2 linked regions of the Danio rerio genome follow. The protein of the gene in region 2 interacts with the protein of the main gene of each other region in a pairwise test. Links are inferred from orthologs where the notes say so. Each region holds a gene or a part of one and is shown on either strand. Other genes may lie near its edges.

Region 1 (6,873 bases), on a different chromosome or scaffold from region 2:
TAAACTAATAAATGAATAAATAAATAAATAAATAAATAAAGTACACAAATAAAATTACTAAACATAATTCATTCCTTCATTTATTTTCCTTCGGGTAGTCCCTTATTTATCAGAGGTGAAATGAACTGAAACGAACTGCCAACTATTCCAGCATATGTTTTACACAGCGAATGCCATTCCAGCTGCAACCCAGTTCTGGGAAACATCCTTAGATTCTCACATTCACACACTCTCATACACTATGGCCAATTTAGTTAATCAATTCCCCTATAGTGCATGTGTTTATACTGGGGGGAACTGGAGCACCTGAAGGAAACCCACACCAACACGGGAAGAACATGCAAACTCCACACAGAAATGCCAACTGGCCCAGCTGAGACTTGAACGAGTGACCTTCTTGCTGTGAGGCGACTGTGCTAACCACTAAGCCAACTATGCTGCCCTAAAAATAATTTAGATGTTATTTGAATTTTACTATTCAACTTATTAAAAGCAAAAATCTTGGAAAGAAATATTCAATAAGACATGATGCACAGAAATATTTTAACTTTATGACTTTGTATGAAAGCATCTGTGAAATACATGATAGGAAACAGTTTTGCTAAAACCTTTGCTAAGCTGCTTAAAAATGTGGATGCTTGTGGCTAAAATTCAGTCCTTTTCTTTGGATTAGCTCAGGCTTCACAGCTCTAGGAAATGCTGAAAACCAAATTCCCAAAATTCACTTCATATATTAATACATGGTATATTTGTCCTTTCCATGCTGCTTATTCAGCAGGTACACCTCACTTCCTGTCTGCTACAGGAAGCAGAGCGGTCACAGAAGGTCACCTCACACACGTCCTGTCTGAGATTCCAGAACTTCTGCATTATCATCCTTTACCTACAGCTGAAGTCAGAATTATTCACCCTCTAGTGAATTGTTATTCTTTTTCAAATATTTCTCAAATGATGTTTAACAGATTCAGGAATTTTTCACAGCAGTTCCTATAATATTTTTTTCTTCTGGAGAAAGTCTATTTTGTTTTGATTCGGCTAGAATAAAAGCAGTTTTTAATATTTTAAAAAACATTTTAAGGTCAATAATATTATTATAAAGCTATAGTTCTGAGTTATAAAGTCATAATTCTGCATTATAAAGTCATAATTCAGAGATATAAAGTCACAATTCTGATATATAAAGTCATAATTCAGAGATATAAAGTCACAATTCTGATATATAAAGTCATAATTCAGAGATGTAGTCATAATTCTGCATTATAAAGTCATAATTCTGCATTATATAGTCATAATTCTGCATTATAAAGTCATAATTCAGAGATGTAAAGTCATAATTCTGCATTATAAAGTCATAATTCTGCATTATAAAGTCATACTTCTGAGATATAGTCATAATTCTGCATTATAAAGTCATAATTCTGCATTATAGTCATAATTCTGCATTATAAAGTCATAATTCTGCAATATAAAGTCATAATTCTGCATTATAGTCATAATTCTGCATTATAAAGTCATAATTCTGCAATATAAAGTCATAATTCTGCATTATAGTCATAATTCTGCATTATAAATTCATAATTCTGCAAAATAGTCATAATTCTGAGATATAAAGTCATAATTTTGCATCATAAAGTCATAATTCTGATATATAAAATCATAATTCTACATAATGAAGTCATAATTCTGAGATATAAAGTCATAATTCTGCATTATAAAGTCATAATTCTGCATTATAGTCCTAATTCTGCATTATAAAGTCATAATTCTGCATTATAGTCATAATTCTGCATTATAAAGTCATAATTCTGCATTATAGTCATAATTCTGCATTATAAAGTCATAATTCTGAGATATAAAGTCATAATTCTGAGATATAAATTCATAATTCTGCATTATAAAGTCATAATTCTGCATTATAGTCACCATTCTGAGATATAAAGTCAAAACACAGAGATATAAATTCATAGATCTGAGATATAAAGTCAGAATTCTGCGTTATAAAGTCATAATTTTTCCTAATAAAGTCAGAATTCTGAAATATAAAGTCCAAATTCTGAAATATGAAGTCAGAAAATCACTTCATAACTCATAATTCTCACTTAATAACTCAGGATTGCGAGTTTGTTCCAGACATGTGATAAAAAGTTACAATAGCTTATAAAAACAGGAACAGATTTCTAAAGAATAATATTGCTGATCTGAGAGCAGTGTGTGAGCACTGAAAAAACTGATTTATGATTTGCTAATTTTTTTTAAGGTAAGGTCTTTGCAAACAATTATAAGGGCTGAAGTTAACAAACTAATTAAATTATGTTCAACTTAGTTTATTTGTTTACATTTAGCCCTTATAAATAGTTTGCAACCACTTATTAAAAATATTGTGAATCCAATGAATCATTTTTGTCCTAATGTGGCGCCCCCTACCGGCCGCTGTGGTTCTATTCAGCGGGACTCCTCCCCAATGCAGCCCGAGCAGATCGCTCTTCCTGCGGTGTGACAGCAGCAGCGGCGGCGGCGGCGGTGGCGCATTGTACGCTTTTATCCTTTATTTGACTCTTTTCTTTCTACACTGAGCTAATCAACACAAACTCATCTGATCATCTCCTTCTGGAAGAACTGCAGGACGCGGCGGCTTGTCTAAAATGGCCAACAGAGACGATGAATACGATTTCTTGTTCAAAGGTAAATTCTGCATACAGTCAGAATCATTCATAATCCATCTATTGTTGCTACTGTAGCATGTGTCTGACACAGATCGGAGCCTGTTGGGGAATAGGCACTGTTGAGGAAGCGTCTTTTGCAATGGCATCCTGTGTAAAATGATGCCACACACATATACAAATAACAGTGTTTGACATAGAAACGCCCGCAGAGGCATCAATACCTCAATACTCATGTATCGATCTGTAAAACATCTGCTTGGATGCCTTTACACCGGCTAGAAGGGATACAGCTGCGACCGGAAGTTAACGAGAATTATTTATTTTGTTTATTAAATTACTGATTGAATTTCATTGTGTTAACGTCTACCCCTGAACCCAACCCTCACGACAATGTAAAACAGTAATTATAACTAGAATTATTTATAATACCTATTTAATTTGTCATTAAATATTAGCATTTACTCCTAACCCTCACACTAATGTAAATACAGTAGTTATAACGAGAATTATTCATATTGTTTATTAAATTACTCATTTTAATGTATTGTGTTTACGTCTACCCCTGAACCCAACCCTCACGACAATGTAAAAACAGTAAATATAACGAGAAGTATTCATATTACCTATTAAATTAGTCATTAAATATTATTTAATTAGCATTTACCCCTAACCCTCACACTAATGTAAATACAGTAGTTATCATGAGAATTGTTCATATTATTTATTAAATTACTCATTAAATAGTATTTTATTAACATCTACCGCTTAACCTAAACATCACAGAAATATCAAAGCAGTAAATATAACAATTATTTATGAAATTACTCATTAAAATGTATTTTGTTAACGTCTACCTCTATCCAAACCCCAAAACTAACCCTCATATTAGTGTAAAAGCAGTTATTAAAAAAATGAGAATTATTCATATTATTTATTAATTTACTCATTAATTAGTATTTTATTAACGTCTACCCCTAAACACAGCCCTCACATTAATGTAAAAACAGTAAATATAACGAGAATTGCGTATATTATTTATTAATTTACTCATTAAATTGTATTTTATTAACATTTACCCCCAAACCCAGGCCTTACACTAATGTAAAACATTAAATATGACGAGAATTATCCATATTATTTATTAATTTACTCATTAAATTGTATTTTATTAGTGCCTACCCATAAACCTACCTCTCACACCAATGTAAAAACAGTAAATATAACAAGAATTATTTATTAAATTACCCATTAAAATGTATTTTATTAACATCTACCTCTACCCAAACCCCAAAACTAACCCTCATACTAATGTAAAAGCAGTTATTAAAATGAGAATTATTTATATTATTTATTAATTTACTCATTAAATATTTTAATAACGTCTACCCCTAAACACAGCCCTCACATTAATATAAAACCAGTAAATATAACAAGAATTATTTATAATATTCATTAAATTACCCATAAATAGTATTTTATTAACTTCTACCTCAAAACCCAAGCCTCATACTAATGTAAAAACAGTAATTATAACTAGAATTATATATATTATTTATTAAATTATCCATTAAATAGCATTTAGTTAACATCTACCCCAAAACCCAACCCTCACACTAATGTAAAAACAGTAAATATAATGAGAATTATTCATATTATTTATTAATTTACTCATTAAAATGTATTTTATTAGTATTTACCCCCAAACCCAACCCTCACTTCAATGTAAAAAACAGTAAATATAAGGAAAATATTCATATTATTTATTAAATTATCAAATAAATTGTGTTTTATTAACATCTACCCCTTAACCCAACCTTAACAGTAATGTAAAAACAGTAATTAAAGCAAGTATTATTCATATAATTTATTAATTTACCCTTTATTTGTATTGACGTCTGCTTCCCCAATGCTAAACACAGACCTCACACTAATGTAACAACAGTGTTTATGATGATAATTATTCCTAATATTTATTAAATTATCCATTAAATAGCTTTTAATTAACATCTACCCCAAAACCCAACCCTCACACTAATGTAAAAACAGTAAATATAATGAGAATTATTCATATTACTTATTAAATCATCCATTAAATAGCATTTAATTAACATCTACCCCAAAACCCAACCCTCACACTAATGTAAAAACAGTAAATATAATGAGAATTATTCATATTACTTATTAAATCATCCATTAAATAGCATTTAATTAACATCCACCCCTGAACCCAACCCCCACACTAATGTAAAAACAGTAAATATAATGAGAATTATTTATATTATTTATTAAATTACTCGTTAAAATGTCTTTAATTAATGTCTACCCCTACCCAAACCCCAAAACTAACCCTCATACTAATGTAAAAGCAGTTATTAAAATGAGAATCATTTATATTATTTATTAATTTACTCATTAAATAGTATTTTATTAGTATTTACCCCTAAACCCAACCCTCACGCTAATGTAAAAATAGTAAATATTACAAGAATTATTTATATTATTAATTAATTTACTCATTAAATAGTTTTTTATTTACATCTTCCTCTAAACCTTCCTCTCACATTAATTTAAATACAGTAATTGTAACAAGAACTATTCATATTATTTAATAAATTACTCATTAAAATGTATTTTATTAGCATAAGCCAAAACCCAACCCTCACAGTAATATAAAAACAGTAAATATAACGAGAATTATCCATATTATTTATTTAATTAAATTGTATTTTATTAATGCCTACCCCAACCCTCACACTAAAGTAAAAACAGTAATTATAACAAAATTTATTCATATTTTTTATTAAATTACTCATTCAAATGTTTTCTATTCACATTTACCCCTAAACCCAACCGTCACGTTTATATAAAAACAGCACATAAAGCAAGAATTACTTATATTATTTATTAAATTACCCATTAATCGTGTTTTATAAACATCTACCCCAACCCTAATCCTATGTAAAAACACTAATTATAACGTGAATTATTCATATTAGTTATTAATGTACTAATTAAATAGTATTTTATTAACATCTACCCCTAAACCAAACCCTTACAGTATTGTAAAAACTGTTATTATAATGAGAATTAATTTTATTATTTAATAAATTACTCAATAATAGTTCTATTGGAGTCAGAATTATTAGGCTCCCTAATTTAAATATTTCCCAAATGATGTTTGACAGAGCAAGGAAATTTTCACAGTGTCTCTGACAATATTTTTTCTTCTGCAGAAAGTCTTTTTTGCTTTATTTTGGCTTGAATAAAAGCAGTTTTTAATTTTTTTGAAGCCATTTTAAGGTTGATATTATTAGCCCCTTTAAGTTATATATTTTTCTGATAGTCTACAGAACAAACCATCGTTATACAATGACTAAGTAACCTAACCTGGGTAATTACCCTAACCTGCCTAGTTAACCTAATTAACCTAGTTAAGCCTTTAAATGTCACTTTAAGCTGTGTAGAAGTGTCTTGAAGAATATCTAGTCAAATATTATTTACTGTCATCATGACAAAGATAAAATAAATCAGTTATTAGAAATGAGTTATTAAAACTATGATGATTAGAAATGTGCTGAAGAAATCTGCTCTCCATTAAACAGAAATACATTCAACTGTATGTCATTAACATCTACCTCTACGCCAACCATAAATTTACCCCTCACACTAATGTAAAAACAGTAAATATGTCAAGAATTATTCATATTATTTATTAAATTAGCCATTCATTTTATGTTATTAACGTCTACCCCTACCATACCTGTCAACATTGGTATGTGAAAATAAGCGATATGCTCACCATAATAAGGGATTCCCCTGACCCCCCTTTAAAAAATCCCCAAATTACTAAATATGCTCATTTAGAGCAGTTTCACTGTAAACAAACAGTTAAATGGTCAGTAATATGCTTTATTATTATTATTAGTACTTACAAAAGAAAAACTAAATAGTATACATCAGCAGCAAATAAATTAGCAAACAGTTCAGCTTATTAAAATGAATAGCTTTTATAATGAAATAGAATCAAATCTCATTAGCGGTTTCTTCACTGTATAACGTACACATTCTGATTAAAGAGCAATGACTGAATGACTTATTTAGATATTTTTTCATCTGATTACATTAAATAACGGGTGTCACTTTAAAAATGCACACATCTAACATTGAAATAAAAGCATTCGACTGCTTTCCTAACTGTTTATACTCATTT
Region 2 (5,683 bases):
TGTGCAAGTATTAACAGGAGGTTGATTGAGACCGTTTCTATATGTATTTAGCAGATTGAAAGTAAACTACGGCAGCTGTAATAACACAAATAACAGATTAGATTACAAATAACAGCAAAGTAGTTGTTTTTCTTGATAATATGTTACAAACCAGCTTCAGATGTCAGCAATTCTGTTGCTGTCTTTTCCTATCATGAGATAAATACATCTCATGTATTTATCCTTTCCTTTTCTGACTGTAAATGTCTGGTCGCTGGAATCATGTGGACAAACACAGTAGGGTACCAAGCCCTATTTGTTAAAAGTTGATATACATGAATCTGAATTATAGAGTGTCCTATGTGTATCACCCATGGCTTTCCGATCTTTGTTTATTTTTTTAATAAACAGTGTGAGATGTCATGTGATGTTGTTCATCTGAGGTGTTATCTTTCAAATTTTAAGACCTACCAAGCAGTTTTTTTTAATGTCTTGAAACTAAAAAACCTGAAATTCAATAGGGTGTCTTTTTACACGACTGTAGTTACTTAAAATAAGCCAATAGTCCACAGGGGAGCATCAAAAATAAAGTGTAACCAGTGCTCGGTATGATTTGCCTGTCTAATTCTGTCCTAGGCGTTCATGACCCAGAACTCTGCCAAGCAGAACGAGCACTGCCTGAAGAACTTTGACCTGGCGGAGTACCGACAGGTTCTGAGTGACCTCTCCATCCAAATCTATCAGCAGCTTGTGAAAGTTGCCGAGGCCAACATGCAGCCCATGATCGGTAGGTGCAGAGAGACACCAAACCAAAGAAGATTGATCATTAGCACAGTACATTTTTTCATAATGAGTGTGTTTTGTAGTGTCTGCCATGCTTGAGAGCGAGAGCATCCCCAGCCTGGCCGGAGTGAAGCCCATGGGTTACAGGAACCGCTCCTCTAGTGTGGACTGTGAGAGTGGAGGTCCCGCAGGATACACGCTTCAGGCACTGATCAAACAGCTGGCTCAGTTTTACTCTACCATGGCGGACCACGGCCTGGACCCTGAGATCAGCCAGCAGGTGCTTCGCCAGCTCTTCTACTCCATCAACGCAGTGACCCTCAACAACCTGCTGCTGCGCAAGGACGTCTGCTCCTGGAGCACCGGCATGCAGCTCAGGTACACATTTTTAATGCTTTTAGGCTAATTAATATTTTTCTCAGCAGTCATCATAGTTAGGTAAACTTAAAGAGCAGTGAATGGGTTTAATTACAGCCACAAAGTCAATAAGGGCTTTAAAATGTGCATTTGTATTAAATGTTTGATGTAATCTTAATCAAAATATAAAGAGAGGGTGGGGCAAATAGTAGCATGATTAGCATGATAGTAGCATAAGCTCTTTTTTTAAAAACAGCCAATAGCATTTCGTTTTCATTACAGCTCTGCCTTAAATAAGAAGCGCTTTGAAGGTGGTAGTGGGGGTGGCGGGGGCATGTTAGATACTAGAGCACATTTGATTGGTCAAGATTTGGTAAGAATCATTGAAAAAAAACGTTGATCCATTTAGACGGAACTGCAAACTGCAAGCTTTGGGTGTTTACGTCAGGTTTATATCATCTAAACATGAAATTCGTCAATGCTTTGGAGAGCACTAGACATTTAACACTAACATACTGATACTAACACCTGAAAAACATTATTTGCCAATGGTGCCAATAGCCTAGTGGTTTTTGCAGCAACATGTTGCACTGAGGTACTCATGGCAACCCAAGTTCAAATCCCGGCTCGAGATCCTTTGCTAATCCTTCAAGTCTCTTTCTGCTCCCAATGCTTTCCTGTCTAAAATCTCCACTGTCCTATCCTAATAATGGTGAAAAGCCCCTAAAAAGTAATAAAAAAAAGAAAGATATTTTGCATGTTACCTTGGTGAAAACCCTATGTAAAGCATCATTTGTTTGTGTTTATCTTTTTCTTTGATCATACTCTGGAGTTTAAACAGGTCTTGGTAAATTGGGTCTTGTAGATGGTTTGTGATGTGTTTTTTTTAGTCCTGGGCAAAAATTGATTCATCTCATCTAAACTAAAAGTTTGTTTTGACATTTGAATTTAAGTGTGTGTATATTTATTATGCATGTTCTGTGTAAAAACACATGCCTGCATAAATCTCACAAATTGTTTATTTATATTTAGATTTAGTATATACAAATAGGTTCATAAATATTTGGACTTCGACACAATTCTAACATTTTTGTGTTACAAGATGTGCTTTAACTGCAGACTTTTTACATCTAAATCAGGTGAAAGCTGTAGGAATTACAACCGTTTGTATATGTGCCTCCTACTTGTTAAGGGTCCAAACGTAACTGGACAATTGGCTTCCAAGTTGTTCAATGGCCAGGTGTGTGTTATACCCTCATTATGTCAATTACAATGAGCAGATAAAAGGTCCAGAATTCATTTCAAGTGTGCTATTTGTATTTGGAATCTGTTACTGTCAACTCTTAAGATGAGTTCCAATGAGCTGTCATTATCTGTCAAGCAAGCCATCAATAGGCTGAAAAGAAAAACACCAGAGAGATAGCAGAAACATCAGGTGTGGCCAAACAACTGTTTGGAACATTCTTAAAAAGAAAAAAATGTCCCAGTGAGCTCAGCAACACCAAAAGACACGGAAGACCACAGAAAACTGCTGTGGTGGATGACCAAAAAATTCTTTCCCTGGTAAAGAAAACACTCTTCACAACCGTTGGCCAGTTTAAGAACACTCTCCAGCATGTAGGTGTATTTCTGTCAGAGTCAACAATCAAGAGAAGGCTTTACCAGAGTGAATACTGAGGGTTCACCACAAGATGTAAACCACTGGTGAGTCTCAAAAACAGGAAGGCCAGATTAGAGCTCTAAAAAAGCCTTCACAGCACTAGAACAATATTTTATGGACAGATGAGACCAAGATCAACTTGTACCAGAGTGAAGGGAAGAGAAGAGTATGGAGAAGGAAAGGAATGGCTCATGATCCTACACAGTGAAGCATGGTGGTAGTAGTGACATGGCTTGGGCATGTGTGGCTGTCAAAAGAACTGGTTGTCTTGTATTTTATTGATGATGTGTCTGCTGACAAAAGCAGCAGGATGAAATCTGAAGTGTTTCAGGCAATATTTTCTGCTCATATTAAGCCAAATGCTTTAGAACTCATTGGATAGTGCAGATGGAAAATGACCCAAATAAAACTGCTAAAGCAACCAAAGAGTTTTTGAAGTGAAAGAAGTGGAATGTTATGCAATGGCCAAGTCAATAACCTGACCTGAATCCGATTGAGCATGCGTTTAACTTGCTGAAGACAAAACTGAAGGGAAAATGCCCCAAGAACAAACAGGAACTGAAGACAGTGGTTGTAGAGGCCTGGCAGAGCAACACCAGTAATGAAACCCAGTGTTTGATTTTAAGTTTGATTTATGATTATTATTCTGTCTAATTACTTTTGGTCCCTTAACAAGTGGGAGGCACATATGCAAACTTTTTGATCTCAAATACCCTCAAATTAAAGCTGACAGTCTGTGGTTAAAGCACATCTTGTTTCATTTCAAATCTATTGTGTTGGTGTATAGAGCTAAAAATGTTAGAATTGTGTCGATGTCTAGTTCTTTTTTGTTTGTTAATTCTTGCTTCTTTCTAATTTTGTTGCATTCTTTGCATAGGTAAAATATGTCAAATGTGAAACCTTTTTGCAATCTTTGACTTCAAGAAAACATAATTGACTAAAAAAAGTAATGTCAGATGAATGTAACGTGTGGTTTCAGGTACAACATCAGTCAGCTGGAGGAGTGGCTAAGAGGGAAGAACCTGCACCAGTGTGGAGCTGTGGCCACTATGGAGCCGGTCATTCAGGCCGCGCAGCTGCTGCAGGTGAAGAAGAAGACATCACAGGACGCTGAAGCCATCTGCTCGCTCTGCACTGCACTCAGTTTACAGCAGGTACACATTTAGCTTTCATTTTTTTCCTTTCTATTTGTTTTGTTTTGTTTTTACTTTTATTAACTCAATTTTGCTCTATCTCAGATTGTGAAGATTCTGAACTTGTACACACCACTCAATGAGTTTGAGGAGCGAGTCACTGTTTCCTTCATAAGAGACATACAGGTAAAATGAAGCACACATACATACATGCACTTATAAATCAAAACATTTAAGCATTCCATATTAAAAACAATGAAATTTTGAGGTCACAGCACAAGTTACAGAACATACACCTGCTTGAAAAGTATAATGCTGCGTCCCAATTTGCATACTATCCGCCCTAAATAGTATTCGAAATTAGAATTAGTATGTCTGAAACCATAGTATGTTGAAAAAAGCATGCCAAAGATTCCCGGAGTGTCTACTATTTCTAGTAAAAATGCGAAATGTAGAACTGTCCATAGTCTCACCCAGACCTGGCCATTTTACGGCCAGTGAAGTATTTATTTAATTTAAATTCAACTGCAAAAAGGGCCTTTCAATGCACAGGTCTGATATTGCGAGTGAACAAAAAGGGACTTTAACATATAGCATCTTTTGCCCTCTCAGTTTCATTATTTTAAATGGAGACATGCCTGTTCAGCGCGCAAATACTGTAGGAAGAGATACACATGTGGTATGTCACGCTCACGTTTTCCAGGCGACACGGGTTGAAAAAAAATCTAAACATTTCAGTGCAGCAAGCGAACCACAAGTCATGTGAAAGGAACCAACCAGGCAACTTCACACTTTGTATAGAATTACACAGTAATAAAAGTAGACTAATTACCTCAGATTAATGGTTTAACAAATGCAGATACAGATCCTCTCTCAGTGATGATCATTACAGCACATATCCACCTCACATTGGCCTGAATTCAGTGCGCTTGTTCAGCCCAACTCAGGCTAGAATTCTCTAAGTTAATATAAAAATTAAGGATAAATAAATAAAATGTACCTAAGGTGAAGCAATCAAATTATGAAGGGAAAGAAGTAGAATGTTATGCAGTGGTCAAGTCAATCACCTGATCCGAATTCGATTGAGCCTGCATTTCACAAAACTGAAGGGAAAATGCCCCAAGAGCAAACAGGAACTGAAGACAGTTGAGTAGAGGCCTGGCAGAGCACCACCAGCAATGTAAATACCCACCGACATGGAACTTTCGCCTGTGTTATGGTACCTTGTTGCAATTTTAGTTTCCCTAACGGGATAATAAAGCAGAGTCTGAGTCACTGTGGTGTTGATGTGAGAGTGACGTACTGCATGTGTATCTCTTCCTATTTGCGCGCTGAACAGGCGCATCTCCATTTGAAATAACGAAACTGAGAGCGCAAAAGGCATAGCTAAAGTCCCCTCGTGTTAACTCGCATTGTCAGATCAGAATGAATATTAACTGAAGTAAAGCAATCAATCAAACAACCCCGTGGCATTTATATGAAGTCAGTATTGTGATGCTGCTCTTTAAAATACTTTTTATTTAAAATTGATTCTTTTTTAAACGAGAGTTTTTATGAATGTTAATTGAATAGTTTCACAGAATGTTTTTATTTTTTGAAAACAAATACCTGTATTGGTCTAGCTTTCTATACCCCCCAGAGTCTAATGTGGACCCTGGAAAAATTAGTTGCACACCCCTGCTCTAACCACTAATATTGCCCCAATACAGTGTGCATTAAATTTGATTAGTACTACAAACTTGGGTAAAAAGTGTAAACAAGCTACAAACAT

What was found.
Region 1: the proteins of myo5b (region 2) and rab11bb interact in binary tests that used the Homo sapiens proteins (3 or more experiments, as listed by UniProt). The link is inferred for Danio rerio from reciprocal best matches to the Homo sapiens genes MYO5B and RAB11B.

The regions. Positions count from the first base shown.
Region 1 is NC_133177.1:59,785,367-59,792,239, forward strand, and holds the start of rab11bb (RAB11B, member RAS oncogene family, b), read left to right. Parts: upstream 1-2,438; 5' UTR 2,439-2,642; coding exon 2,643-2,682; intron 2,683-6,873. UniProt on the Homo sapiens protein: The small GTPases Rab are key regulators of intracellular membrane trafficking, from the formation of transport vesicles to their fusion with membranes.
Region 2 is NC_133196.1:23,909,655-23,915,337, reverse strand, and holds part of myo5b (unconventional myosin-Vb), read left to right. Parts: intron 1-615; coding exon 616-766; intron 767-845; coding exon 846-1,140; intron 1,141-3,758; coding exon 3,759-3,933; intron 3,934-4,017; coding exon 4,018-4,098; intron 4,099-5,683. UniProt on the Homo sapiens protein: May be involved in vesicular trafficking via its association with the CART complex. The CART complex is necessary for efficient transferrin receptor recycling but not for EGFR degradation.